Linked DNA regions of Oryctolagus cuniculus. The protein of the gene in region 1 interacts with the protein of each later gene in a pairwise test. Links are inferred from orthologs where the notes say so. Each region holds a gene or a part of one and is shown in the gene's direction. Other genes may lie near its edges. The genes, in order: MEOX2, zinc finger protein 124, HAT1, SYT17, EMD, TRIM41 and SHFL.

Region 1 (4,449 bases):
GCTCACACGTCTCCCAATTCCCCATCAAACCCCCGCTGCACCCCACCTCCAGGCCGCGGAAACGGATTCCATCTTTCCCGCGGATGCCAGGGTTCTCGCCAAGCTGCGGCGCTGCGGCTCCCCTCCAAAGGACCGCGGGGACGGGCAGGGGCCCGAGGGTCCTGCCCGTCCGTCGGGGACACCGCCCAGAGATGGCTCAGTACTCGCCCCTAATTCGAACCAGATGTCCAGCCCCGTCTGCTGTGCCCATTAATCTCAGGAACAACTTCAAAGACCTGGTCCCCATCCTCGGGACACCTGAGACAATGAAAATAACGGGGCAACACCGCTGGTGGCACGGCCGGGAGCAGTGAGGGCACGCGCGCTCCTGACGGCACCGGCCCAGCTGGGAGCCGGCTGCCCCGCGGCCCGGTGCGCCCCCGGGACAGAGCCAGCGGCCCGCATGCGCTCAGGGACTCCAAACTTATGCTTTCCTGTTTGCGGGATGCAAACCCGAAACGCCCAAGCGCCGATGGCACGCATCAGAGTGTTCGGTTTCCCAATCAGTGGCACCATAGCGCAGTGAGGAGGAGTGTGTGGAAGGAGCTGGTTTGTGTGGGAGCGGGAGAGAGGCGGTGGGGTTCTGGAGGAAAATCAAGGGCCCTGGGTTGCCTCCTGGGGGAGGAGGGGGCGAGGCTGGGAGCACGCGTGCAAATCCGCACGTGGCATGTGACAGGGACAAACTCTCTTCAGAATCTTCCCGGCCCAGGACAGCTTGCTCTAGATGGACTGGTGGCTGGGAAATGGAGTGGGACCAGTTTCGCTGTGACGGTCAGGGGGCGGGACGCCAAGGCAGGGCACCAGTAGGCGGCTCACGTCGGGATGCCTGGGCGCGGGCTTCCGCGCACTTTCCGCCGGCTCACCGCACCCAGTCCCGGTCCATTCGGTCTCGAGCGCTGCCCACTTGCGGGTCGCGCTGCGCAACTCCGCACCTGGACCCTACCCCAGAGCCCGGTGCCCGGCCGGCGCACACACCTCGGCGGCAAAAAGCCGGGCGCGCCTTGTGCCCCGGGGCGCACGCAGCGAGCGAAGTCTGAGAAACTTCTCGCAGCGTGCGCTAGACTTGGCTCTGCTCTGCCCTTTTCAGCCGCGCTCACTCCCCCAGGGGTTGGGCGCACCCCTAAGCTTTCCTGCGGGTGACAGTTTCCAAATGGCACTGACAAGTCATGGTGCGCGGGTAGGGGCTGGGGGGTGGGTGCGGAGCCGGGACTGGCGGGATCCCGGCGCCTGGTGCGCGGCTTGCAGCCCGGGGCTGCTGGCAGGGCCGGGCGGGCGGGGACACGCGGAAGGACTGTCCAGCCGGCAGTGGGAAGCGGGGCTGGGAGCGCGGGGCGCAGACTGAGCGGGCGCGCTGGAGGAGCTCGCATGTGGTCAGCGCCAGGCTCCTAAGCCAGCCCCCGGCTCACGTTACACTCTATTTATAACCTCCCAGAGCCCTTCCTCCCCCCCCCACCCCACCCCCCAGGCGTATAGTTCTCTGGGACCACCTTCTTTTGGCTTCGACCGCTCCCACTCTTGACATCCGAGTCGCTCGGAGGGAAGCTCCTCTGGGTCCCAGTGTTTATATGTGAAGGAGACCGGCCCGAGGGTTTAGGACAGGGATTACACGAGCGCTGCCGGAAAGCCCGCGCGGCTCTGGCCTGGGGACACAGGGGCGGCGTAGGGTGCGGGGGAAGCCACACGATTGCCACGGAGAAGCGCCCGCAGGCTGGTGGTGCCAGCGTTGGTGCGGTCGTCTTGAAGTCTTCCCGCCTGGAGCCCGCGACTTGCATGCTATGGAACACCCGCTCTTTGGCTGCCTGCGCAGCCCGCACGCCACGGCGCAAGGCTTGCACCCGTTCTCTCAGTCGTCGCTCGCCCTGCACGGGAGATCCGACCACATGTCCTACCCGGAGCTCTCCACTTCGTCGTCCTCGTGCATCATCGCGGGATACCCCAACGAAGAGGGCATGTTCGCCAGCCAGCACCACCGGGGCCACCACCACCACCACCATCACCACCACCACCACCACCAGCAGCAACAGCACCAGGCGCTGCAAACCAACTGGCACCTCCCGCAGATGTCCTCCCCGCCCAGCGCGGCGCGCCACAGCCTCTGCCTGCAGCCGGACTCCGGAGGGCCCCCGGAACTGGGCAGCAGCCCGCCGGTCCTGTGCTCCAACTCCTCCAGCCTGGGCTCCAGCACCCCGACTGGGGCCGCTTGCGCGCCGGGGGACTACGGTCGTCAGACGCTGTCACCCGCGGAGGTGGAGAAGCGAAGCGGGGGCAAGAGGAAAAGCGACAGCTCAGGTAAGGTGCGCGCCAAGGACCCTCGGCCGGAGTGCAGACGCAGCTGGGTCGGGCCAGGGCGGCAGTTTGCAAGCGCTGGAGGCTGCAGCGGGGCACAGCAAAAGCTGGGGCAGTGTCCAGCCCGCGCAGGTTTGGGAGATGCGGCTGTGGTCCCAGTTACTTGGGGGGGCGAGGGGAGTGTTACCCTTGTGCGCAACCTACACGCAGCCAGCAGCGGCAGCTCTAGGCTTCCCAAGGTCCCAAACTACTTCTCCAGAAGTTTGAGACCAAAGGGGAGCGAGTGACAGTTTGTGAAATCGATTGCGCGGCGTGACGGCCGGGCGCGGCGCCGGGAGGGGCGTGCGCCTGGGGATGCGTGTCCGTGGGGCGGGCGTGCGGGTGCGGCTCCCGGACTTCTGCCTCGCATGTTCCCGACTCCGAATGGCTCGCTTTTTCCCATCGTTAACTGGCTTTCCAAATCGTTGCACAATATTTGGAACCTTGGAATGGAACTTGGCAGAGCGTATGAGAAAAAAAAAAAGTTTTAGGTTATTTATTTATTTATTCTGGATTTCAGGATTCCTTAAATAGCAACCTATTCTAAATGGTAAATGCTTCCCTTTCTTGGGAAAGGAAGATAGTGTCTAAGAAGTTTTTTTTTTTTTTTTTTTTTTTTTTTTAAGGAGCATGTCAGAAATTTTTAAACAAATAGATGACGAAAAGTATTGGAGAAAGACGATTGTTAGGAGTAGTTAGTAGTATTCGTATGATACCAATGCAAAGGGAGAATCGAAGAGGTTTCAGGGTGGAAGATCAACTCCTCTCTCAATGAGTGCAATACGACAAAAACTGGGAATCCAAGGGCAGGTCCAGTGCTGTCTGCTCAAAGTGATACGCGCAACGGGGCACCCACCAGGCGTTCGTCTGCGTGCCCGGAACCTAACAGCCCTGGGAGCGCCGGAACGCGCAGCTTGCCCGGGAAATCTAACCACAGAGGCAGGTCTGCAAAGCCCTTACCTGCCTGCATTGTGATGAAATTGTTCAGAGGATTTTTCACTGAAGGGGAGTTGTGACCCTGGGTTCCTTCGTGTTTTAGGAAGATGTCATTTGCGCAATAGAACACTTAGCGTGTGTTTCTTTTGCGAAATTGATGTCTATAGTCCCAGAAGATAATCTCAGCCGTGGGTTGAAAGAGTTGGCAGATGTCTATCTCCTGTAAAGCTTTAGGCCACATAAAGGACGCAGATGGAAATGAGCGTTGGAATTGCTTTGCAGCGATGCTACCGATCTTTCTTCAGTTTAGCCTGCGCTGGATTTCTTTCGACTTTTACTTTCCAGGGTCAGGGGTGGACCATTAATGCCCCATCACAAATTAGTTAATATCTAAGAAAGTTACTAGCGATGTCACTCATTTTTAATGGGTTTTACTAACTACAAATGAAACTCTCTTAAGACCAGTTGAAAGGTTAATCCCAGCAAGAAGGTTTTCATCTTCATTATTTAAAGATAAATAAATAAACAAGGGCCAGTTTTAGACAGCAATGGCCCTTGCACAGACTGGGCGCTGGATATCAGTGTTGGTGTGGAAGCGGTGGCAGTTCAGGCGGTTCGGGCTGATGAGAACATCCTTCTAGAACTAGAAGCTCTGAGTGAGCGGCCCTTCTCACTCTCCGCGGGAGAAGCCGGATGATGGGCTCCCTCCTCAGGCGTCCTGACTCAGCCCAGTACCCCTGAGTGTCTTAGGGCAAATCCGAATTTCATAGGGCAAGTGTGATTTTGTTTGGGACAGATAGAGAAAGTGGAATACAAGAACTGATGCCCACGAATTGTTTCAATGAAACTTAAAAAAAAAAAAAATTGGCCTCCTTTAATGCTCCTTAGCTCCTCTCTCATGGATGAGAAATTAGCCATATAACAAAGTAAAATTCATTTTTACATGTTGAAGCTGATATTTAGGGTCCATGAAAAGCAAGTTTGTGTCAGCCGCATAAAGTATTGATAGATTACAGCTTGAGTGGGAAATACACTCAGCCATCACCAAGGATAAAATCATTGGGGACTTTAGATGAGGGTTTTCTTTGATGGTACGTTCTGGAAGAATGTTTGACTAAAAGGAAACATCACAACAGTTTCTGGCTCGAT
Region 2 (3,459 bases), about 57 Mb from region 1:
CTTCATTCCTGTAGAATAGGAGGTTCTGTGGCCCATGACTGCTGTTCAGTGACATGGGCTATGGAAAGGGTAGGGTTCCCTCAGTAGGTGATTCAGGCATGATCTCATCGTTTCTCTAAGTTTGCAGTTTTATAAAGATGTTTCTTCTCCTGCACTTTAGGAATAATACAGGACGACCATAACATTGGAAATGAGTACAGGAATCCTAGGAGAAATCTAAGGTAATTTATATTCACAAGCAGAAACAATATTCTGTAAGAAGAGAGTCTCAAAATGTCAAGAAATGTTTAAAAAAGCAACAAAATGAGCAAAATTTCCCCTTTAATTATTACAGAATATCCTCAGTTTGTGTGCTTGCATGTGGTATAGATGCTCCTGTTTTAAACTGAGTTGGAAACAGTATTAAGCAACCCCATGTGAACATCGCTGTTTGCATAATATCCGTGGTTGGGCCATTTTGGCAGAGATACATTGAGACGCCAGCAGTGCAGGAGCACAAAGGCTCCATTTGGCCTGATCCTGTTGACAATGTAAAACCAGTACCTGTTAGTAAATATAAGATCATTAGTACAGAAATCCTTCATAATAAGCTGCTTTCTATCCAGCTATGATGCAGTAAAGAGACTGGGAAAGTAAGGAAGGTGGTCAATGTGGTGAAGCCTTCGGACATATTCTGCATTATGTTATGCAGAAAAGCCCTTGTGCCTTAAGACCTTATAACAGCAGTGTGTGTGATGAGGTGGTGAACAGCCATTTCTCTCTTCATAGGCATGTCATATCAGACTCTGGAAACAAACCATATAGGGATCAGAAAAACAGAGGGAAACCCTATGAATGTGAACAGTGTGATAGCATCTTCAGGTCTCACAGATCCTTGAGACATCACAAAAGGACTCACACTGGGGAGAAGCCGTATGGATGTGTGCAGCGTGGGGAAGCCTTCAGTAGTAACAGTTCCTTGCGAAGACATGAAAGAACTCACACTGGAGACAGGCCCTATGAATGTGATGAATGTGGGAAAACATTCACATGGTTAAGAAGCCTTCAGAGACACAGGAGAGCGCACAGTGGAGATAGACCTTATCAATGTAAGGTGTGTGGCAAAACCTTTTGTTACAGCAATTCATTTCACATCCATGAGAGGACTCACACTGGGGAGAAGCCCTATGGGTGTAGCAAATGTGGGAAAGCCTTGAGTACTTACAGTTCCTTGCAGGTACATGAGAGGACTCACTCTGGAGAGAAACCCTATGAATGTAAGCAGTGTGGGAAAGCCTTTAGTTCTTCCAGTTCTGTTCGAGTACATGAGAGGTCTCACTCTGGAGAGAAGCCCTATGAATGTAAGCAGTGTGGGAAAGCCTTCAGTTGTTCCAGTTCCCTTCGAGTTCACAAAAAGACGCACACTGGAGAAAAGCCCTATGAGTGTGGAAGATGTGGGAAACCTTTAAGTACTCAGCAGTCCTTACAGATGCATGAAAGGACTCACACTGGAGAGAAACCCTATGAATGTGGCAAGTGTGGGAAGGCCTTCAGTTGTTCCAGTTCCGTTCGAAGACATGAAAGGACTCATTGCAAATAAACGCTGTGAATGTGAGAAATGCAGGAAGGCATTCAGTCAGTCCAGTTACTTTGTTACATGAAAAAAAAATCACACTGCAGAGAAACCCTGTGAATGTAAGGGTTTTGGGACAGCATTCTCATTTCCCAGTTCCTTGTATAGACACAGAACTCAGAGTGACTATGTGTGTAAAAATGTGTTAAAGTCCTGTTTCCTTCATTAATACATGAACAATAAACACTGAACAGGTGAACATTCTGTTTCACTTCCTTTCCAAAGTGCTAAATATATCAGATTCAAGAGAAACACTGCATAATAAGTTTGCAAATGCCTTCAAGATCACACAACCTTTCTAGCCCACATGAGAGAACATAGTGGAGAGATTCCATGTAAACATAAATCTGGTGTTGTGCAACAGGCTAAGCTGCTGCCTGCAACACAAGCATCCTGTATTGGAGTGCCTGTTGTCCTGCATGGCTGCTCTGCTTTTAATCCAACTCCTTGATGATGTACCTGGGAAAGTAATGGAAGGCAGCCCAACTCCTTGAGCCCATGCAACCCACATGGGAGACCGCAGTGGAGTTGGTCTTATAAATATGGACCAGCCTTGGTGATTGGGACTCTTTGGGGAGTCAAGCAAGGGATGGAAGATCACTATGTTTCACCCTGCCTTTCAAATAAACAATAATTTTTTAAAGGGTGTCAGAAAAATTTTAGCTCTACAAGCTCAAATGAAACCATGCGTATGGACAATGTGGAAAAATCTTCAGTTGGGGGCTAGTATAGTGGAATAGTGGGTAAGGCCACCGCCTGTAACACCAGCATCCCATATGGCACTGGTTCAAGTCCTGGCTGCTCCTACTAATGTGCCTGAGAAAGCAGTGGAGGATGGCCCGCGTTCTTGGGCCCCTGCACCCACGTGGGAGACCTTGAGGAAGCTCCTGGCTCCTGGCTTCAGCCTAGCCCAGCTCTGGCCATTGCAACCATGTGGGGAGTAAACCGGTAGATGGAAGACCTCTCTATCCTCTCCCTGTAACTGTGACTTTCAAAAAAAAATAAATATCAATGGATGATATTCATATGATGATATGTAGAACAAACAAACTGGGCAGTGGAATATTTCCCTAAATAGACCAAGAGCAATAGAGCCTAAGTTTAATTAGGTAGTGTTTTTCTTTTCTCAGTGAAACTTTTCTCATTCTATTTTGAGTGTGTTAGGGCCATGGGTGGATGGAATGTAGTTGTAACTGTAGTTTTCACATTAGTTTTTCGATGATCCTATGACTAATGGAGCTACTGAAAAATTAACTGTGTCTTGAGAACTCAATGCAAATGAAAAAAGAGAAGAGGGAAAATTAATTTGTTAAATGTTGAGATTTGTTATTGGCCTCAAGTGACAGGCTTTGGAAACCACTTCCCCATTATGAATTTCTTCCTCTTCCTCATGGAGAAAAAAACTTTTGTGAAAAGTTTAACCTATCTTCTGTGCTAAAAAGTAATTGTCATTAGTCTTGGTATGTCATGCAATATAATCTCATGTGAATTATTTTCTTAGATTGCCCTCTAGTCTGTCATCTTTCTAATTGATCCTTGGCTAATTCACTTGGAATTTAGTACAGAGCATGTTAAAATCTAGATTCGGAGATGTGTTTCCTTGATTAAGTGATGTGAATATGAAACCAACCTTTCCAGGATTTGCTTTGTAATGCCACATTAAAATTCATCAAGTAACCTAAGTTCCATGATACTTGGAAGACAGAGCGAATATTACTCACGATTTGGAGGTGCCACTTACAGAGATAACTAAATGGACAGTGTGCGGACACTTCCAATCCATTTTCCTGATTCTTCAGCTTACCAATCAGGAGTGTTCCCACAACTGTCAGTGCTTACTGGGCTTC
Region 3 (3,795 bases), on another chromosome or scaffold:
TATATGTAGTACAGAATTAATCTTCAGGTGTTCAAAAATGGTAAGTCTGAAAAAGGTGGCTAAAAAGAAATTGATACAACTGCTTGGTTTTTAGCATTGAAACCTTTGTTTCACAGGCATATATTAATTAATAATTGGTTTATAGGTAGAGAATCTATAATTCTTGTTACAATGTCATTGGATTTGGAATCAGGAAACCCAGTGTTGGGGTCTGGTTCTGGCAGGACAAGTTACTAACATCTGGGAATTTGGCTTCCTTTCCACAACATGGGAATGCTTCCCTACTGAGGAAGTGAACTCACTAGGGAGGCTTTTCATTTCCATAGTGTGTATGTCTTCAAAGAAGTCTTGTAAAACGTCTTGGAAAGTCTTGGGAATTTATATGCCTCAACACCATTTTTATTTCAATAAATTCTTACAAAAGAACCTGTCTACACTGTACTTCACAAAAGGGAATGTTCAACAGTTAGAAGTTAAGGAGATCTTAGGAATGATGTCATTTTTAAAAATATATTTATAAGCCTTTTTGGAATCTGAAAACTAGCCAAGAAGTTTTATTTTCTGGAAATGAATTCATATTCAGGTCAGATTTAATATAAATAAAGTGACTTCAATACCATTTTAAATTTGCATTAATTGCATAGTGTCAACAGCACTACTGTATGAAACAGAAGTTTTTGTTTGTATTGGGAAAAGAATTATTTTCAAGACTAAAGAAAGTCTCCAGCCATTCTAATATGAAAGTTCTCTTCCAGGGTGCACTTGTGCTCCCAGGTGTTAATGCTGAATAGAGGTCTTCTGCAAATGAGCTTAAGTTCTTTTTTTAAAATAAATGTTTTAAAAAGTTAATTTATAATACATCACATGTGGACAAAACAGAATATGTAGTTTAGGGACTATAAAAAGTTAATGAAACAATTACAATTTATACACAGGATCAATTTTTCTTTGTAGTGTCAGCTTATTTCAATATAAGCTTACTTCTAGTACTTTACTGTACCTTGCTTTAGAAATGTTTAATTTTAAGCTTTTTAAATGATGATCATGACAGATTTGCCTGGTTTTCTAAAATTATTAGGGCCCCTAGTAAGATGCATTTGTTAATTTTTATGATAGTTTAAGGTATTTTTTTAAGATTTTTCTTTTTTACTTGTCTCTTGAAAGGCATTTTAACACAAAAACTAATATTTGGACTCCCCACTGGACTGTCAGGGTTTGAATCCTGGTTTCTCAGCTTGCTAGCTAGCTCTGTGAGCTTGGGCGAGTTACTTAATTCCTGTCTCCTTTTTGTTCTCCATCTAATACCTATCTCAGCACTATTAGGATTATATGAGTTAACGTATGTGACTTCTAATATCTGTGAAGTCGGCTCTTTATTATATGCTCCAGTAAAACAGAATTGATATTTTAATCTAGAGCAGATTATCTTTTTTTTAAAAAAGATTTATTTATTTACTTGAAAGGCAGAGTTACAGAGAGAGAGAGAGAGAGAGAGAGAGAGGTCTTCCATCCATTGGTTCACTCCCCATTTGGTCACAGTGGCCGGAGCTGCGCTGATCCGAAGCTAGGAGCCAGGAGCTTCTTCCAGGTCTCCCACGTTGGGCTGTCTTCCACTGCTTTCCTAGGCCATAGGAGAGAGCTGGATAGGAAGTGGAGCAGCCAGGACTCGAACCAGCACCCATATGGGATGCCAGCACTGCAGGCGGCAGCTTTACCCACTACACCACAGCGCAGGCCCCATAGAGCAGATTATCTTAAAGCATGACAATTTCATGTATTGCAGTGTTGCCACTACCAGGAATCTTGTTGTTTGTTTTTCATCATTCTTCCTCCTGTCACCCAGTACTTTATCCTGTAGATCTGCCCTGCACTCTCCATGTCTGCTGCTACTAAGAGTTTTATCACCCCTGGCTTGAACTACAGCAGTAGCTGCTACCTCAGTTGTCCAGTCCTCTTACGAGTATCACTGACACAGTATGTTCTAACATGGTGTCCTGCATAAAGTTGTTACCAGCTCCGTTTTGCACATGCCTCAGCACAGCAGTATACTTCTCAGAATCATGGGGAGAGCTTCATAATACATTTGGTGCAGCAGTTAAAACTTAAGCTGATTAGGGCACTCATGTACCATATTGGGGTACTTGGGTACAGTGGCCACTTCCATTCCTGGCTCTGGCTTTCTGCTAATGGAGACTGGGCGAGGGTAGGGGAGCAGGCAGTGAAGGCTCAAGGTTCCTGCTGCCTATGTGGGGGAGACCTGGATTGAGTTTCCAGTTCTCTCCTTGGCCTTGAACCCAGCCCAGCTCGTGCAGGCATTTGGGGAGTGAAATCATTGGAGCATCTTCCCCTTCTGTCTGTTTTTTAAAAATAACATATATCTGGAACTTAGTACTGAGATTCACTGAATGCTAATTGACATATTTTAAAATCTGACCGATTTTCATTTATCTAAAACTTTTCCACAGTTTTCCAATAGTTCCAAAATGTTAAAGTTAGTATATGGTCCATAAATACGTCTCTGGGTAGGACAAACTAGAAATGAGCATAGTGGCAAGAAAAAAGGCCAGATTTGAATTAAAAATGAACATAATCAATCAGTGTTAGAATAGTGAAGTAAAAAATAATGGCACTTAATATTGGTTACCTTTCTTCAGTTAATGTGTTTTATTCATTAAAATAGTTTGAGTGTCTATACAGGACAGAATTCTTGACTATGCTTTGGAGGGGGCTACTAGTTACTGTGTCGGCGTCACTTAAAACAATTTTAAGTGATTTTAAAGGGTTGCAATTCATGGTTAACATTATGTTTAGGCTTCCTTAAGAAATGTATAGGACAACTTTGACTACATTTCCGTTGTTCTTATTTTTAACACTGGAGACTTAAAATGTAAGGTTATAAATATGTATAACTGCTTTCTTTGTCTAACAAATAAATTGTGTTTGTTGCTTAGAAAAAGCAGAGAGATCTTGCTAAGATGAGAAAATGTCTCAGACCAGAAGAACTGACAAACCAGATGAACCAAATAGAAATAAGCATGCAACATGAACAGCTGGAAGAAAGCTTTCAGGAACTAGTGGAAGATTACCGGCGTGTTATTGAACGACTTGCTCAAGAGTAAAGATTATACTACTATGTACAGGAAGCTTGCAAATTTCTGTACATTGTGCTGTGAAAAATCTGATGATGACTTTAATTTTAAAATCTAGTAACATTTACTTACATTAAAAGTTGTCTATCTTTAGTTGAATATTTTCTTTTGGAGAGATTGTATATTTTAAAATACTGTCTAGAGTTTATGAGCATATATTACATTTAAGAAAAAAGATATAGCTTCTGAAATATCACTGCAGTTGCTTACCTTCTTAAACAGTATAATAAATGCTTAGTTGTGATACGTTAATGTGTGTTAAGATTCTTAAATACTTAGGATAAACTTTGTCTTGTTCAAAATCTTAGATTTTATGCTTTTAATATCATGCCTCCCATAATTTGTTTCTGAGATTTTTATATGACACCTTTACAATACATTAAGAAAACTCATCCTAGTAATTTATTTTTCCTATATTTTTCTAAATAGGAAATGTTCCTGGTATAGGTTTGTTTTGTGTTAAATAAACTCCTGTAATGGCTTGTTGGGGGTAGGTAGCTAAGAGAGAAAAAGGAAACGAGCTACAGCCTAAAACCTAAATGTTTGATATCATATATTAACTGAAGATAATTTAGAAGTTAGCATAAACATTTTATTAATAATGAGAGGATAGCAGCTTGTAAAATTTAGTTTACCACACTTTTAT
Region 4 (3,795 bases), on another chromosome or scaffold:
TAGAACCAGCGCCCTTATGGGATGCCGGCACTGCAGGCCAGGGCTTTATCCCACTGCGCCACAGCACCGGCCCCTCCAGATGTGTAATAACACCTGATACCCTGTAACTGCCACGTAAATCCTTGTTACACTTATTGTTTAGGGAAAGATGGCAAGACAACCGGTCTGCACTTGTTCAGTATGGGTGTGATTTCTTCTTCAAATGCTTTGAATCTGTGGTGCTTGGTGTTTGTGGATGCAGAACCTGCAGAGAGGGAGGGCTGACTGTATGTTCTATGTAAGATATTTTTTAAAGATTTATTTATTTACTTGAAAGGCAGAGTAATAGAAAGATTTTCCATCTGCCTATTCACTCCAAATGGCCACAATGGCCAGGGCTGGGCCATACTGAAGCCAGGAGCCCAGAAACTCCATCCTGGTCTCCCATGTGAGTGTCGGAGGCCCAAGGACTTAGGTCATCTTTTACTGATTTACCCTGGCACATTAGCAGGGAGCTGGAATGGAATCAGAGCAGCCGGGACTCAAACAAAACTGACATCACGTTTAGAACCTATTTTTAAATATTCGGCCAACATTTTTTTTTACAAATACAGGTATGTGTGAAACATCGTTGGGCAAAATGGTGATAATGCTCACAGCTGAGTGACGGCGATGTGGGGAGATGTTACGCTGGCAAATCTGTATAATTTCAATCATTTTTTGAAAAGGAGCAGATGGTAGGGAGGGCAGCTGCTCTTGTCTAGGAACTTGGCAGTGTGGAGTCGTGCACTTGTGCTCGTGTGGATTTTCTGCAAGCGTGGGAGTGTTGACATCAGGGGCCTTGGTCAGTGCTTTCCAACAAGTCCTGCCATGACGGGCTAGAAGCGTAGGCTCTGTCGTGGGCTGTGTGTCGAGAACAGAGTTCTTACCCAGAGACTGACTTTGCAGGGTGTTCCGCCTGCTGGGGATCCCACAGCATAGTGGTCTGAGCACCTGGAGTCAGCCTCACTGGCGCCAATGGCCAGCTCTGCCTCTTTCCAGATGGATGACCTTGGACATGTTATTTAAAGCATTCTGAGCTTAGTTTTCTTGCCTGTTAAATGGGGTTAATACTTAATATGAAGATTAAATTAATCAATCACATATCAAGTACTTAGCATAGAACATGGCATATTGCACTTATTTTTTTATTACGGCTGCTTTGGCTGTTGCTGTTAAACATTGTAAGAGCAGAAAAAACTTTCTGAGCTAGATGGATGAAGATAATTGGAGGCAGAGGCTAAAAGAAGAAGAGGAGGCACCCACTGTCAGCTGATCTCCCTACCAGCTGTTCATTTGTGAGCTGCACGAGGGGTACAGAGGGCACAAAAGAACAGGAAAAGTTGTTCCTGAACATCTCCTCTCCCCGCAGAACGAGGTGGAGCTGGGGGAGCTGCTCCTGTCTCTGAATTACCTCCCGAGTGCTGGGCGACTGAATGTTGATGTCATTCGAGCCAAGCAGCTTCTTCAGACGGATGTGAGCCAAGGGTCAGGTACAGTGCCATCCCCTGCCCTCCACGTCGTGAATGGGGCACCTGCGTGTGTTCAGTGGACTGCATCCTGGGTACCACTGATGATACCTTGGGTGGTGCACAGCATCCAGAACTAGGCTGCCGGCTCAAGAGAGAAAATAAGTCCTTAGGTGATTCTTAGGGTGAAGCAGGAACCCGGTTTGAATTGGTGAGGTTGACTGGGACCAGGTGTGCTACCAAGAACCTAGAGTCGGAGGAAGTTCCTTTTGCCTTTCCAAACACTGTGCCTGCAATAAAGACAGTGTGCTCTAGGTGGCGATAGTGTGCAGAGACGGCATGGAGGCCCACACACAAGCCTGGAGGTTTGTTCACAGCCCACTTCATATGTGCCATGAACCTTTGTAAATCCTAGCTCTGAAATGACTGTTGTATTTAGTGTCTGCTTTATAGAAAAACCAATTCCAACGTGACTTTTAATGAAACAGAGCAGATTCCGTTCCATCTGGAGATATTGTTGTGAAAGCAGCCATGGTCCCTGGATCCCCTCTGCTGCCTTTTCTAAGTACAATAGCAAAAATAAATTACTTTTCTATAAGGTGACAGCTGAAGCTAGAAGATACCTCACAGTCTCAAAAGCCACATTACAAAAATAGAGGTTTCCGAGGGACCACTGGCAGGAATGTATCGAGGCTGGAGAATTCCAGACGCGCCACAATAGAGGAGTCAGTTTGATAAAATGATTAAGGCTTCTGATGTCAGCCTGCCTGGAACAAAATCTCAGTTTCACAGCTTGCAAATAATGTGGCCTTAGAGAAGTTATTTTACCCCAGGATGCCTCCCTGTGCCTCAACTTTGCCATCTCAGAAATGGACACATTAATAATATTCATCTCGTTGGTTTGTTTAAACAGATGCTAAAGTGGATAAAGTCCAGGAATCCCATTATAGCGTGATTGAAGAATGATAGTTATAACTATACCATCTCCATTCTCCTGTAGATGGGCTCACTGACGTGATAATGGGAGTCCTCAGGTAGCTGGGACAGCCTCTCCACCTGGTGTTGCCTCCATCAGGCAGATCTTAAGCAAATCATTTCTCATCTTGAGTCTTCAGCTTTCTCATCTGTACGGTGAACACAGCACCTAACAGATGGGAGCAGTTCCATAAGTATCAGATGGCTGAAGGAACAGAGAAAGGGATGAATGGATAAGCAGATGGATGAGAAAATGATGAATGAGTAGTAGACGGATAGATGGGGGAATGAATCAATGAGAGGAGGAGTGGCTGCTTGGACTGATGGATGGATGGGTGGGTGGATCAGTGACTCAATGGATGGACTGATGAGGTGGATCTGTCACCTAAAGGATGGATGGTGATCATGGAGGGATGGTGGATCATGGATGGATGGTGGATCATGGATGGATGGTGGGTCGTGGATGGATGGTGGATCAGTGGATGGGTGCATGGACTGAGAGATGGATGAAAAGTTGAAAGGATGGATGGAGGCTGAACAAATTATTTGCGTCTGATGGTGTTCTGTGATGCTTTGTCCGATTTTCAGACCCCTTTGTGAAAATCCAGCTGGTGCATGGACTCAAGCTTGTGAAAACCAAGAAGACCTCCTTCTTAAGAGGCACAATCGATCCCTTCTACAATGAATCCTTCAGCTTCAAAGTGCCCCAGGAAGAACTGGAAAACGCCAGCCTAGTGTTTACAGGTAGGTGGCGTGCCAGGAGCCCTGGGGGAGGCACGTCGTAGAGACAGAAGGCGGCCTCAAGACAAAGGGCCTCTGGAGAGAGCCTTGTATTTGAGAGCTTCATGGCTGGTGTTCAGCTGTCTGGATTTGAATCCAGTGGCCATCTGTGAACTTGGGTGAGAGTCGCAGAACCGTGCAACGTAATTGTGACGAATGTGGGCCCTGAAGCCAGATTTCCTGGCACGGCTGTGTAGTAACTGAAGGCAAGTTCTAAACTCACCTGAGCCTCAGTTTCCTTATCTGTAAAATGTGGACAATAATAGTCCTTGTGGCACAGACGTGTTGTAAAGAGGAAATGATCGGCCGGCGCCGCGGCTCACTAGGCTAATCCTCCGCCTAGCGGCGCCGGCACACCGGGTTCTAGTCCCGGTCGGGGCGCCGGATTCTGTCCCGGTTGCCCCTCTTCCAGGCCAGCCCTCTGCTGTGGCCCGGGAGTGCAGTGGAGGATGGCCCAGGTGCTTGGGCCCTGCACCCCATGGGAGACCAGGAAAAGCACCTGGCTCCTGGCTCCTGCCATCGGATCGATGCGGTGCGCCGGCCGCAGCGCGCC
Region 5 (4,546 bases), on another chromosome or scaffold:
CACAGGCCTCCGGGAGAGGGGCCAGCACTGCAGAAGAAGGCTTGGAGAGGTGCTGGGCAAGCGGGCCTTGGCCAAAACTAAAAACTCCAGGAGGCAGCTTCATAGCTGCAAATAGTTCAAACTGTCATCTCTCCTGCCTTTTCCTGCCATGCACACTGTCTTTGGGAATGCACACAACTTCTCCCACATTGCTAGGAACAGACTGGGCCAGGTCTTTATTCTAGAATCTGGCAAACGGAAACCCCTCTTCCTTAGGGTTTTTGTCTACGGTCAAAGGGCCTCGTCTCTTCCACATTCTTCCCTGGTCTGTCTGTCCCCATTCTGTGTGAGCAATCTTCCTCAGAGAACTGGCCTGTGACCATCACCAGTTTGGGCCCTTCAGCCTGGAGCTGATCAGAGCCCTCGCACTTTCTTGTCACCAGCTAACATCTGTGAGGCCAGGACGGCACCTCATCTCTTCATGCACCCACTTCTGTCACTTCCTTTCGACTCCCCAAGGGGACAGCCCTCTTCTGATTAAGACCCTTGCCAACCCAGCCACAGTACAGGAACCTGAGCAAGCCTTGGCAGTCTCTCACGGCTCACCAGGCTCCTCTGCCCCTGCCCGGCCCCCTCCTGGTCACTGGGCTCAGGGCCATTCCGACTGGAGCCCCCTTCCCTTCCACCCAGTACCCCGGGTTGACAGTAGGGTGGGCTGGGAGGGCACACTCCCTCTCCGAAGCGCGCTCTGCCCGTGCCCGCTGGAACGGCCCGCCGGGCCCCTTCGAAGGCTGTTTGCTCCAGGAGTGCCCGCGTCCTCCTGGCCCAGTGCCCCATTTCCTCCCGGGTGGAGGGCGGGAGGAGCAAGGGAAGGAGGGAGGGAGGCGATGGGAACCGATGGGCGCAGGTGCGCAGGCGAGGGCCGGTGCAGGTCAGCGAGGCCGGCCTGGGCCAGGGGGTCCGCGTAGCGCACCCAAAGCGTAGACAGCAGTGGCTGGCCCGAGAGCGGCGCTGTGCAAAGGGTGGCTCCTTCCCGCTGCTGCGGGAGAACCCTCGGCCTGGGATCCCGGGAAAAGGGGGACGACGAGTGCAGGCGCAGGGATGTGGCAAGAGTCAACCGGCCCGAACCACCGCAAAGACACCCACGCCGCCGGCTCCCTAGCTCCCACGTTCTGGCCGGTTTCTACCGGTTCGGGTCGCATAGGCTCCGCCCCTCCCGCGAGTCTAGCTCAGAAGCGCCTGCGTGTGACGTCTTGGCGTGCCCGTCCAGCCCCTTTTCTCGAGCGTGCAGCCCCGCCCACTCCCACGGCCTGAGTAGTCTGAGCCACTTTGGCTCCCACACAGGCCCCGCCCCTCTTCCGCCACAAACCAATCTCGCACGTTTTTGAAATACGAGCTCGCCAGGCCCGCCCCGCCCGCTCCCACAGCTAGACCGGTCCGTGCCGGCTCCTCCTTGTGGTTTGGCTCCGCCCCGCGCAGCGCGCGCAGCCTGCGGAGCCCGCGGCCATGACGGGAGCGTGACGCAGACGTGACGCAAGCGCGGCCGCTCCCGAGCCCTGCGAGGCAGTGGTGTTGCTTGGCCTGTGTCGCCAGGCCCGGGCTGCCCCCAGCCCTTCGCCACCTGCCGGCCGCGCCCGCGATGGACGACTACGCGGTCCTGTCGGACACCGAGCTGGCCGCCGTGCTGCGCCAGTACAACATTCCGCACGGGCCAGTCGTGGGTACGCGGGAGCGGGCGGGACGCCTCCCGGGACTCGCTCTCCCGCGCGCCGTCTCGCAGCCCCCCGGTACCCCCCGCCTGCGTCCCCTACCCAGATTCCCTCCCTGGGCTCGCAGCCCACGACCCTGACCGCCCCGCGCCCGCTGTCTGGTCAGGCTCCACTCGCAAGCTCTACGAAAAGAAAATCTTCGAGTACGAGACCCAGAGGCGGAGGCTCTCCCCACCCAACTCGTCTGCTTCCTCGTTCTCCTATCGGTTCTCGGGTGAGCAGCTGGCTGCCGGTGGTGACAGGGAGGGTGGGATTTCGAGGGTGTGGCGTGGGGGGTGGGTTGCTAGCCGAGAGAGGCACTGCGAAGAAGGGAGGGAAGCCTGGGGGAAAATGGTCTCGTCCCCCCCCTCAATTCAGACTTGGATTCGGCATCTGTGGACTCGGATAAGTACGACCTGCCCAAGAAAGAGGACGCCTTACTTTACCAGAGCAAGGGTAAGGCAAGGAATTGACACCCTTAACACCATCACCCCAACACCTTCACCCACCCTGTCCCGGACCGTGGGCGTAGGGAAAACCTGAGGCCTCGACTCCCCACCAGCCTCAGCGACCTGAGAGGGGCCCCAAAAACGCTGTTTAAATAAGGGTCCCTGGAGCAGCTGGGGAACACGGGTCTGCCCTCTGCTACCAGTGCTCCCTTTTTCAAGGCTATAATGATGACTACTACGAGGAGAGTTACTTGAGCACCAGGACTTACGGGGAGCCCGAGTCTGTGGGCACATCCAAAGGCTTCCGGCAACCCGGGACTTCGCTTTCTGATGCTGACACCTCCCACCACCAGGTGAGCTGCCGTCGGGCACCTCATATCCGGGGGCAGCTTGAAGGGATGACAGCTGGGTTTGGGTAAATCCCAGCATCACTGGGTACAAATGCTAGCTCCTAGGTTTCCAGAGAGAGTTAGGATGAGTTAGGACTTTGCTACGGGGCGTGTCAAGAGTATTTGACTAGAGCACACAGGATGTGGCCTGCACCCTGGTCAGGATCTGAAGTTCCAACTCAGAATCCAGGGGGAGAAAAGAGGGTTCTGGGGTCAGTGCTGTGGCACAGCAGGTTAAGCTACCGCCTGCAGTGCCAGCATCCCATGTGCATCCAGGTTGGAGTCCTGGCTGCTCCACTTCTGATCCAGCTCCCTGCTACTGTGCCTGGGAAAGCAGTGGGGGATGGTGTGAGTACTTGGGCTCCTGCCACTCCCATGGGAGACCTGGATGGAATTCCAGGCTCCTGGCTTCAGCCTGGCTCAGCCCTGGCCATTGTGGCCATTTGGGGAGTTAACCAACAGGTGGAAGATCTCTCCCTCTCTAACTCTGCCTTTCAAATAAATAAGTAGAATCTTAAAAAAAAAAATGTTTATTTTCATCTGCTTGAAACCAGAGCAACAGGAAGACAAAAAGAGAAAGTGAGGTCTTCCATCCCCTGGTTAATGTCCTAAATGCCCAGGATGGGGGCCATGGCAAAGCCAGGAGCCCAGAACTCCATCTAGGTTTTCCACAGGGGTAGCAGGGGACCAGAAGCAAACCAGCCAAAACTTGAACTGGCACTCCGTATGGGATATGGGCACCCTAACTGGCAACCAAACCTGCCACGCCACAATGCCTGCCCTGTCTGGCCTTTAAGCAATGGTTAGAGTGGGCTGAGTAATACGACAGGCTGTGCTGACCCTGCTGGCCAGTCCCGTCACCTCGATTCTGGTCTGCAGGTGCGCAGTGACCATCTTTTCTCTTCTGAAGAGGAGGACAAGGACAGGTGAGTAGTGGGAAGGCCCTGGGAGCAGTGATTCTGGGCCTAGCTCTCCTGGCTCACCTGCTCCCCTCTTTTGCATTAGGGAACGCTCCACATATGGCCGTGACAGTGCCTACCAGAGCATCGCACACTACCGCCCTGTTTCCAACGTCTCCAGGAGTTCCTTGGGCCTGTCCTATTACCCTGCATCCTCCTCTTCTGTGGCCTCTTCGCCTTCTCCATCATGGCTCGCCCGCCGTGCCATCCGACCAGAAAAGCAGGCCCCTGCAGCTGGTCTGGGTCAGGACCGCCAGGTCCCACTCTGGGGCCAGCTGCTGCTTTTCCTGGTCTTTGCTGCCTTCCTGCTCTTTGTTTACTATTCCTTGCAGGCAGAGGAAGGCAACCCCTTCTGGATGGATCCCTGAGGGTCTTGATTTCAGAGCCAGCTCTTTGAAGTCCTGGCTGTCTGCCTTAGTGCAGTGTGTGCTGGGGGTGGGGGTGGGGGCTTTTCTGTGTGTTCTAGCTTTGGGGGCTGGGCCTAGCCCTGAGCAGTGCTTGCTCCCCCTGCCTGCTCCCACCAGGGAGGCAGCAGACTCGGGCCCTTCACGTTCTGGTAGGCCTGGGCGTGCCTTCCTCTGGAGCCTCCTGGCCCTGCTTGCCTCTGACCCTTAGGGCCTGGGAGGGCAAGACTTCACTCCTTCAGAGATGTTGTCATGTGCTCATGCATGCCTCCTGTTCGTTGTCACCTTTTTGAGGTTAACCAAGGGCCACCTCGACTTTGTTTTCGTGGACGCAATAAAGACCGTTTATTTTTAATGTGTTGGCTCTTCCTGCTGGGGGAGAGGCTGGCTGCCATGCTTTGGGGTCTCTGGGTCTTAAGGTTTTTTAAGGATTGTCACCTGGCTTTATTGATTCTGTGGTTTTGCTTTGGTCTTGGCATAGGAATCAAATGCTACCGCTGACTAGGTTCATGTGTTGTTTGGGGGTTTATTCCCTGACTCCCCAAAGCACTGGTAACTACTTAAGAAAAGAACTGTGATAACAGCAAGGGGTCTGGAGAACCCACCTGGAAATGCAGG
Region 6 (3,795 bases), on another chromosome or scaffold:
ATGTCTGACCCAAGGCTGCAGAGCAAAACTTTCTACCTCGAGACCTAATCTAATTCTCTATTCCACACTGCCAAGCCTTCTATGTTGGATAGACACGGAGCAGAAAGGAACAAAGCAAAACCCATGCAGCAACCACCAGATAAGTCCAGGTCCCAGGGTAGATGCAGGTGGTAGCCACAACGGCCCTGAACATGAGGGAGATGTCGTCCTGGGAAACTTACTTCTGGGAGGGGGCCGGTGTGTTTAAGGGAGAAGAATTAGCATAGCAGAGACCAAATATCTCCTAGTACAGTGTTAATGAGCTCTTTTCATTATTGCTCACTCTTCCCCAAGGGGTCTTTTTAGATAATTTCCCCCTAATTCCTACCTCATACCTCCTGCCTGTTTTTGTACGGCCAGCAGGTCCTGCTGGTATGAGCTGACACTGTGAGCTTCAGAAACCATCCCAAGACACTCCTTTCTGTCCCTTTTCCTCTCTCCTTCCCAAAACCTTTCTTTCTGGCCAGTGCCTGGGCCTTGACCACTTCAGGGTCTATGCTCATCACTGCTCATTAGGAACTCTTGCTGGCAACTGGGAAGCACTGAATGATGAAATGTATAACTAGGAGTCAGAGCGATATTAACTCTGGCCAGCTGCCCAAATTGATATTTCAGGTTCTCCAGGGTACAGAAAAGATGTGCTAGAGATCTGAATGTCATTGGGGCAAAGAGTGAACCTTCCTATGTGCCTTACCCACTTTACCAGCCAGAATTCTCCCACTCTGGCCTGTTACTTTTTTTTTTTTTTAAAGTTTATTTATTTATTTGAAAGGCAGAGACAGAACAATCTTCTCTCTGCTAGTTCACTCCCCAAATGCCCCAACAGCTGGGGGTAGGCCAGGCTGAAGTCAGGAGCTGGAAACTCCATCTGGGTTTTCTACATGGGTGGCAAGGGTCCAACCAACTGGGCCACCATTTACTGCCTTCCTAGGTGCAGTAGCAAGAAACTGATTCAAAAGTGGAACAGTCAGAACTCAAAACTGGGAACTCAAACATAGGATGCAAGAATCCCATGTGACTTAACCTAATCCCTGGCCTTTTATCCAGAGAATGTCTTCAGCTGATGGTAACTAGGTGAAAAATATACCTACCTCTATAGTTTAAGCCTACTGCAGAGCTAAAATATGTAGGGGAAAAAAAAGTGTGGCTGCACAGACTTTGTTTTCTCTGCCATTATTCTCTAACAATACAGTATCTGTTTACATAAAATCTGCATTGTATTGGTAATTGGAAATAATCTACAGATGATTTAAAATATGTAGGAAAATATGTGTGGGTTATATGCAAGTACTAATATAAGTGAAATTTTATTTTCCAAGGAGAGTCCTCAAATCAGTTCCCTGTAGTAAGATTCAAAATGGAGCCCCATGGGGCTTCAGATATTCCCACCCAAGTGCCTTCTCTGTGGTCAGGACTCTGCCAAGGTCTGAGGAAGCAATGGCAAAGACAAACCCAGTCCCTCCCTCTAGGGGCTTAGGGTATATTGGGGAAAAGAATATAAAAAGATACTTCATTGTAAACATAGCATTTCAAATATTGTATATACCACGAAGAAGTTATGGTATTTATGGAAGTAGTCTTGATTGAGATCTGAATAATAGAAAGCTTCTCTCAAAATATGTAAGCTTAGACTTCAAGGATGAGTCATATTAGGTACACAGTGTAGAGATAAGTATTCCAAGCAGAGGTTGGTGAGTATAGAATGAGGATGCCAAAAGTGTGGGGGTGGTACATGGTAAGGCTAAGGGGTGGAGAGGGAGACAGGGGCCTCTTTTTACTACCATATCTTTTTATTTTTGAATTTGAATGGCAGAGAGACAGAATGATCTTCTGTCTGCTTGTTCATGCCCCAAATACCTGCATGATCAGAGTTAAGGCAATGCAGAAGCTGGGAGACCAGAACTCAGTCTGGTTCTTTCCTGTAGATGGCAGGGACCCAAATACCTGAGCCATCTTCCCAGGGCACAAGTTAGTATAAAGCTGGATCTAAAGTGGACTCAAACCAGGCACTCTGATATGGGATGCGATTATCCCAAATGGCGACTTAACTGCTGTGCTGGTCACCCATCCCATAACTCAACGTTTCTCTTTATGTTGAATTGATACCCACCCCTCCCTTTGCACTGTTCCAGAGCCAGATGAAGTTAGAGCTTGCAGCTGTGGCTTCAGAGTTTGGGCGGTTGACACGGTTTCTGGCTGAAGAGCAGGCAGGGCTGGAGCGGCGCCTCCGAGAGATGCATGAAGCCCAGTTGGGGCGTGCGGGAGCTGCAGCCAGCCGCCTCTCAGAGCAGGCCACCCAGCTGAGCCGTTTGCTGGCTGAGGCTCAGGAACGGAGTCAGCAGGGTGGTCTACGGCTGCTTCAGGTGAGCAGCATTTCCCTTCTCTACTCCCAGTTTCCCAAGCACCCTATTTGCCCTGTCAGATAGTGCTTACCAAATATTGTCCAGAGCTGCCTGTTTTCTCACTGGGAGTATACCACAGTGTTTCAACCTGAAGACCAAAACAGTCTTGAGACTGGAGGCAGAACTAATGTTGAATGAGGTATCTGTGACTATTACACGATTATAGCCATTGAAAAAAAAGTAAAATTTGTTAGGAGGAATGTAATGAGAGCTCAGGAATGAACTTTTGACAGTGACATCCTGAAAAAGGTGACCAAGACATATTATAAATTCTGTTTATTAGTAGGCTTATAGCAGGATGGGTGAGGTTTGGGTATGGTGAGGAATGGTGGTGGCTGAGTTGAAACATGTTTATTTAGGGCTTTAAGGGTGCTGCTTCTCCGTTGTTCAAGTTAGGTTGTTTCTAGCTGAAGACTGGGAAAAAGGAGCGATCTCTGTGCAGCTGACATTCTCTTTGTCTTTTTTCTCCCTCTCCCTTTTTTTGTTTCTTTTATTCCCAGGACATCAAGGAGACTTTCAGTAGGTGTGTTCCCACCCGGTACCCTTTGTGACCCAGTACCATCCAGTCCCCATCATTGCCTCTTTGGGGTGGCTCTCTCCTTCCTTCCCAATGACCTGAGTTTCTACCGCCTGGCCCACTGTCTCCTTTCCCTCACTTCTGCTCTTCCCTCTTGGAATATCATGGTCCCACCCCCTGCCCGGTCCCCTTCCTCCAGGTGTGAAGAGGTACAGCTGCAACCACCAGAGATCTGGTCCCCTGATCTGTGCCAACCCCATAGCCATGATTTCCTGACAGATGCCATTGTGAGGAAAATGAGCCGAATGTTCTGTCAGGCTGCAAGAGGTAAGAATGTCACTTTGCCTTTCATTTCTGGGTTCTGAGGGATATTGGGCTGCAGGGGAAGTATGGGGGTCTGAGATGGAGGATGCAAGTAGGTCCTGTGAGCTTTTAAGCCAATAGTAGTTTCTGTTCTAGCCCAGGTATGTTTTGAGGTCCGATAGGGTGGTGAGAGCTAGGCAGAAGGGAACACCTGTCAGGTATCCTGGGGACAAGAGTAAGGAAAGAAGTGGACCCAGGGAACCGGAGCCTAGCCTCTAGGGAACTGAAGTTCCCTGAGTTTAGGGAACTGAAAAGAAGAGGTGGGGGCAGTAGGGGAGCAGCAGGGAAGGCTGAGCCTATGGAGTTGGCTACTGTTGGGGAACAGTTGTTCTAGCTTGAATATATTTGTCCTCTCCCCTCCCAAGTGGACCTGACACTGGACCCTGACACAGCTCATCCGGCCTTGATGTTGTCCCCTGATCGCCGTGGTGTCCGCCTGGCAGAAAGGCGGCAGGAGGTTGTTGACCATCCCAA
Region 7 (4,388 bases), about 60 Mb from region 1:
GGGTATTCTAGTAACAATACAGTGTAACAACTACAGAGCACTTACATTGTATCAAGTCTTGTAAGTCAGCTAGAGATGGCTTCAACTCTACGGGAGGGTCACCATACCCCCGAGAGGAATGCCAAAAAAAAAAAAATTATTATTACAGAGGTCTTCCATCTGCTGATTCACTTCCCAGATACCTGCAGCAGCCAGGGCTGGGCCAGGCAGAAGCCAAGAGCTGGGAACTCCATCCGAGTCTCCCTCGTGGGTGACAGGGGCGTGCCTGTTGTAGGATTGATGAATCCTATGGTAGGCATATTTTTAACTTAATAATTGATTTTATTTATTTGAAAGACAGAGATCTCCCATGCGCTGGTTCCCTCCCCAAATGCCTACAACATCCAACACTGGACCAGACCAAAACCAGGAGCCAGGAGCTCCCTCCAGGTCTCCCCCAGAGGTGTTAGGAGCCCCGTGCACCTGCCATCTCCTGGTGCCTCCCAGGGTGCGCATCAGCAGGGCACTGGAGTCGGGAGCTGGGATTCAAACCCTGGCACTCGAAGATGGGATGCCAGCGTCCCAGGCGGCAGCAAAACCTCTGTGCCCAACACCGCCCTGTGTTCCAGCAGTGTCCGGAGGCCACTTCTGAGGAGGGCCACGACTCCGGTGGCATCTAGGGCATGGGGGCCGGGGACAGATCCCCATCGCAAAGAGCTACTGGCCCAAAGTGTCCGCAGCTCTGTGCAGGCGGCTGAGAAAACGCAGTTGCTTCTTTCACCTGACTCCATCCTCACCAGCTATGACCTCAAACTTCTGGGGCTCTGTCCAAGCAGGAGATGATGTCCCCAGGCCGAGGGTCCCAGCTAAAGGCTCCCCAGGCCCCTCTGCTGGGGCCCCATGGGCCCCTCAACCGCCCGATTGAGAATGCAGATTCCAAAGCAAGCATTTGGCTTGAGAGGGTTAACGGGACACATGAGAGGCCTGCATGGCATGAGCTGAACTCCTGGGCTCTGATCCAGGTCCCAGTTCCCACTATAGCACAGCCCTGGGAGGCAGCAGGTGGTGGCTCAAGCACTTGGGTCCCTGCCACCCACGTGGGAGACCCGGATTGAGATGCCTGCTCCTGGCTTCGGCCTGACCCAGGCATTTAGGGAGTCCACCAGCAAATGGGAATGCACTCTCTCTCTTTATCTCTGCCAGCCAAATAAATAAAACTTTTAAAAAATAAAATGCACATTTCTAAAGCGCCCCCCAAAAGCTGGGGCCCATCACCCTGTGTTTTTCACAAGCACCTATGGATCATTCCCATTTTACAGAGCGATAAACTGAGGATCAGAAACGTCACAGTGGCCTGTCAGGAACTCAACAGCAGGGGAGGAGGGACCCCCCCCCACAAACCCCCCCAGGTCCTAACAAGCGCCCGGTCCGTGGGAGCGCACGCGGGGAGTGGGGGGCGCGGGGACCCGCCGCTGCCTTCGGAGGCGGCCCCGCCCCCACGGGGGACGTGAAGACGCGGCCCCCGCGCAGCGTGGGGACATGTGACCGACTGCAGAGGCCGCGCCGCCTCCCCCGCCCGAGGTGCGCGCGCCCCGCCGCAGGGCGCAGACCCCGCGCGCCCGCCTGGGTTTGGGGCGCAAGTGCAGAGGCGGAGCCGGGGCGGAGCCAGCGCACCCGTTCCCCACTTCGGAACCGAAAGCGAAACACCGGGCCCGGGCAGAAGGGCGGAGCCGGCCGCGAGACCCCGCCCCCTGCCCTGCGCGGCGGCCGGACCGACGGGCGCGCCCAGCGAGGAGGGCGGCTGAGCCACGCAGTGCGGACCCTCGCGGGGACCTGCGCGCCACCACCATGTCTCAGGAAGGTGTGGAGGTAGGCGATGGCCACGGCCGCGAGCCGAGGGGCCCGCGGCAGGCGCCGAGGGGGGCCCGGGGGCGCCGAGGGGGCTCCGCAGTTCCTGGGGGACCCCCATCCGCATCCCATCCCATGCTCAGGGCGAGCGCCCGGGCCCCCTCGGAGAGGAGCGCGCCGCTCACGTCCCCCGCCTCCGGAGCGAAGCGCGGCCTCCCCCCGAGGAGAAGCGGGGGCTGCGGGGTCAGGGGTCAGACCCAGGCCTTACCTGTGCGCCCCGCCCGCAGGCTGGGACCCGCGCCCGCCATCCGCTCCCACCCCCAGACCCTGTAGGGACTTGGGGGTTGTGCAGGAAATGTCGTGGAGAGATGGTGGGAAGGGGGGAGGGGGCGGAGGCCAAAACCAAGGCTAAAGTTCAGGCCCCAGGAATGTTACCTGGAGTTGGGGGAGGGGCGGCGGCTCGTCCCTCCCCCCCCCACCGGAGCCCACCTGTCCCCCCCCCCCCCCCCCGTCCCAGTTGGAGAAGAGCGTCCGGCGCCTCCGGGAGAAGTTTCATGGGAAGGTGTCGCCCAAGAAGGCCGGGGCTCTGATGAGGAAATTCGGCAGCGACCACACCGGCGTGGGTCGCTCCATCGTGTACGGTGAGCGCGCGGGGGTCCCCGGCCGGCGCCGAGGGGGCGTGGCGCGGGAGGGCCCAGCCGCGGGAGGGTCTAGCCGCGGGAGGGTCTGGGCGGCGCAGGCCGCTCAGGGGCCCTGTCTTATCCCGCCAGGGGTAAAGCAGAAGGACGGACAGGAGCTCAGTAATGACCTGGACGCGCAGGTAACCTGTCCCCTGGCCTCCAAGGTCGGGGTACCGGGCGGGAGAGCCGGGGGGACCCTCTGGAGCGAGCAGGGCTGGCCACACACAGCACCTTCCTCAATCATCGGCTGGGCCAGGGAGCCTGCAAACAGTAGGTGCTCATTAAGTGCTGATTGTGTTCCATGGAGCGGAGCGGACGCCGCCATTGGTGCCAGGGAGCCCAGGAAGTCAGGGAAGACTCCCTGGAGGAGGTGATGCAAAGCCTTGACAGGGAGGAGTGAGCCCTGGAATGGAAAAGCAGGGGAGGGGGTGACAGGTAGCATAGGCTGGGAGAGAAGAGGGGGAACTGACCCCAGAAGAGGCGGGAAGGGGGAAGCGGCTAGGGCGTCCTTGTGTTGAACGAATGAATGAGTGATGACTGGCTTTGTGTGGGAATGGCTGGATCTCACCTACCTGGAGATAAAGTGCGCATCCTAATCTTTATAGGCATAAAGCATGTGATAGAAATAATCACAGAGGGTAATCATTGACCCGGCACTTCCCCGAGGGGCCAGGTTCCAGGAACTGACTTGTTTGATCACCACACGAGCCAGGACCCATTATTGATCAGCCCATTTTACAGACCAGTACTGAGGCACGGTGGTGAAGTCATGCTTTCTCCAGGGGCCCCGGGGGGACGAGTGGTTTGCCCACGTTCTCACAGCCGGAAGTGCCAAAGCCAGGACTTGAACCTGTGTCTGTTCAAATCCAGAGCCCCAAGCACTAGCCGAAAGCGACGGGGCCTCAAATAGGTGGCGAGCTGGTGTTTAGCGCGAGGCGGAATGCCTGGTTGGAGTCCGGCTCCGCCTCTTCCGGTCCAGCTTCCTGCCATGGGCACGCTGGGAGGCGACAGGGATGGTTGAAGAGCTTGGGCCCCTACCGCCCACATGGGAGACCCCGATGGAGCTCCAGGCTCCCTGCTTCGGCCTGGCCCAGCCCTGGCTTTTGCGGGCGTTAGGATGATCTCGGGCAAGCCCTCCCCTGCCTCTGGGCCTCAGTTTCCCCATATGAGCAATGGCGAGAACAGGTGCGCCCACCTGTCGGGGCTAACGGAATGGCTAAGGGAAGCCATGTACCTGCTCCTTGCTGGCTGTGCACCTGCTCTGAGCTCTGGGAGGCCCCTCCCCCAGCAAAGGCGGGTAAAGGGGAGACCCGAGTGCCTGCCCCAGTTTCTGCCCCTGGCGTCTCCACGCAGGACCCCCCAGAGGACATGAAGCAGGACCGAGACATCCAGGTGAGTTGGCAGCTGGGCAGGGGGACCCGTGTGGGGGTGGCGGCAGACGTGTGCAAGGCAGAGGACGGTGACCCCTGTCCCCACCCTGCCCGTCCCGCAGGCCGTGGCCACCTCCCTCCTGCCGCTGACGGAGGCCAACCTGCGCATGTTCCAGCGGGCCCAGGATGACCTAATCCCTGCCGTGGACAGGCAGTTCGCCTGTTCCTCCTGCGACCACGTCTGGTGGCGCCGTGTGCCCCAGCGGAAGGAGGTGACCGCCTAAAACTTGACCTTGGTTTCTGTCCTGAACGCCACTCCTGACCCCTGACCTCTGACCTCCGAGCTTGACCCGCATCCCACCGGCTGACCTGCAGCTGCACTTCTGACCTCCGACCCCGCTGGTTGCGAATTGAACTTGACTCCAAAGCCACAACCCTAAATGTGGCGTCCAGGTTCCCCTGGGAGAAAGCAGGGGGGACGGGGAGATGGGGGAAGCTGACGTTTGTGCGC

What was found.
Region 2: the proteins of MEOX2 (region 1) and zinc finger protein 124 interact in binary tests that used the Homo sapiens proteins (3 or more experiments, as listed by UniProt). The two-hybrid records come from large-scale screens. The link is inferred for Oryctolagus cuniculus from reciprocal best matches to the Homo sapiens genes MEOX2 and ZNF124.
Region 3: the proteins of MEOX2 (region 1) and HAT1 interact in binary tests that used the Homo sapiens proteins (3 or more experiments, as listed by UniProt). The two-hybrid records come from large-scale screens. The link is inferred for Oryctolagus cuniculus from reciprocal best matches to the Homo sapiens genes MEOX2 and HAT1.
Region 4: the proteins of MEOX2 (region 1) and SYT17 interact in binary tests that used the Homo sapiens proteins (3 or more experiments, as listed by UniProt). The two-hybrid records come from large-scale screens. The link is inferred for Oryctolagus cuniculus from reciprocal best matches to the Homo sapiens genes MEOX2 and SYT17.
Region 5: the proteins of MEOX2 (region 1) and EMD interact in binary tests that used the Homo sapiens proteins (3 or more experiments, as listed by UniProt). The two-hybrid records come from large-scale screens. The link is inferred for Oryctolagus cuniculus from reciprocal best matches to the Homo sapiens genes MEOX2 and EMD.
Region 6: the proteins of MEOX2 (region 1) and TRIM41 interact in binary tests that used the Homo sapiens proteins (3 or more experiments, as listed by UniProt). The two-hybrid records come from large-scale screens. The link is inferred for Oryctolagus cuniculus from reciprocal best matches to the Homo sapiens genes MEOX2 and TRIM41.
Region 7: the proteins of MEOX2 (region 1) and SHFL interact in binary tests that used the Homo sapiens proteins (3 or more experiments, as listed by UniProt). The two-hybrid records come from large-scale screens. The link is inferred for Oryctolagus cuniculus from reciprocal best matches to the Homo sapiens genes MEOX2 and SHFL.

Annotation. Positions count from the first base shown.
Region 1 is NC_091447.1:7,289,453-7,293,901, reverse strand, and holds the start of MEOX2 (homeobox protein MOX-2), read left to right. Parts: upstream 1-1,526; 5' UTR 1,527-1,814; coding exon 1,815-2,328; intron 2,329-4,449. UniProt on the Homo sapiens protein: Mesodermal transcription factor that plays a key role in somitogenesis and somitogenesis and limb muscle differentiation. Required during limb development for normal appendicular muscle formation and for the normal regulation of myogenic genes.
Region 2 is NC_091447.1:64,590,577-64,594,035, reverse strand, and holds part of zinc finger protein 124, read left to right. Parts: intron 1-160; coding exon 161-221; intron 222-768; coding exon 769-1,579; 3' UTR 1,580-3,459. UniProt on the Homo sapiens protein: May be involved in transcriptional regulation.
Region 3 is NC_091434.1:69,121,170-69,124,964, reverse strand, and holds the end of HAT1 (histone acetyltransferase type B catalytic subunit), read left to right. Parts: intron 1-2,951; coding exon 2,952-3,119; 3' UTR 3,120-3,401; downstream 3,402-3,795. UniProt on the Homo sapiens protein: Histone acetyltransferase that plays a role in different biological processes including cell cycle progression, glucose metabolism, histone production or DNA damage repair. Coordinates histone production and acetylation via H4 promoter binding.
Region 4 is NC_091450.1:21,228,262-21,232,056, reverse strand, and holds part of SYT17 (synaptotagmin-17), read left to right. Parts: intron 1-1,390; coding exon 1,391-1,511; intron 1,512-3,050; coding exon 3,051-3,206; intron 3,207-3,795. UniProt on the Homo sapiens protein: Plays a role in dendrite formation by melanocytes.
Region 5 is NC_091453.1:132,603,886-132,608,431, forward strand, and holds EMD (emerin), read left to right. Parts: upstream 1-1,618; coding exon 1,619-1,700; intron 1,701-1,854; coding exon 1,855-1,962; intron 1,963-2,105; coding exon 2,106-2,183; intron 2,184-2,395; coding exon 2,396-2,529; intron 2,530-3,444; coding exon 3,445-3,491; intron 3,492-3,570; coding exon 3,571-3,892; downstream 3,893-4,546. UniProt on the Homo sapiens protein: Stabilizes and promotes the formation of a nuclear actin cortical network. Stimulates actin polymerization in vitro by binding and stabilizing the pointed end of growing filaments. Inhibits beta-catenin activity by preventing its accumulation in the nucleus.
Region 6 is NC_091445.1:34,924,469-34,928,263, forward strand, and holds part of TRIM41 (E3 ubiquitin-protein ligase TRIM41), read left to right. Parts: intron 1-2,171; coding exon 2,172-2,402; intron 2,403-2,941; coding exon 2,942-2,964; intron 2,965-3,157; coding exon 3,158-3,285; intron 3,286-3,686; coding exon 3,687-3,795.
Region 7 is NC_091447.1:67,206,232-67,210,619, reverse strand, and holds the start of SHFL (shiftless antiviral inhibitor of ribosomal frameshifting protein), read left to right. Parts: upstream 1-1,543; 5' UTR 1,544-1,827; coding exon 1,828-1,848; intron 1,849-2,344; coding exon 2,345-2,468; intron 2,469-2,597; coding exon 2,598-2,647; intron 2,648-3,860; coding exon 3,861-3,899; intron 3,900-3,999; coding exon 4,000-4,149; intron 4,150-4,388.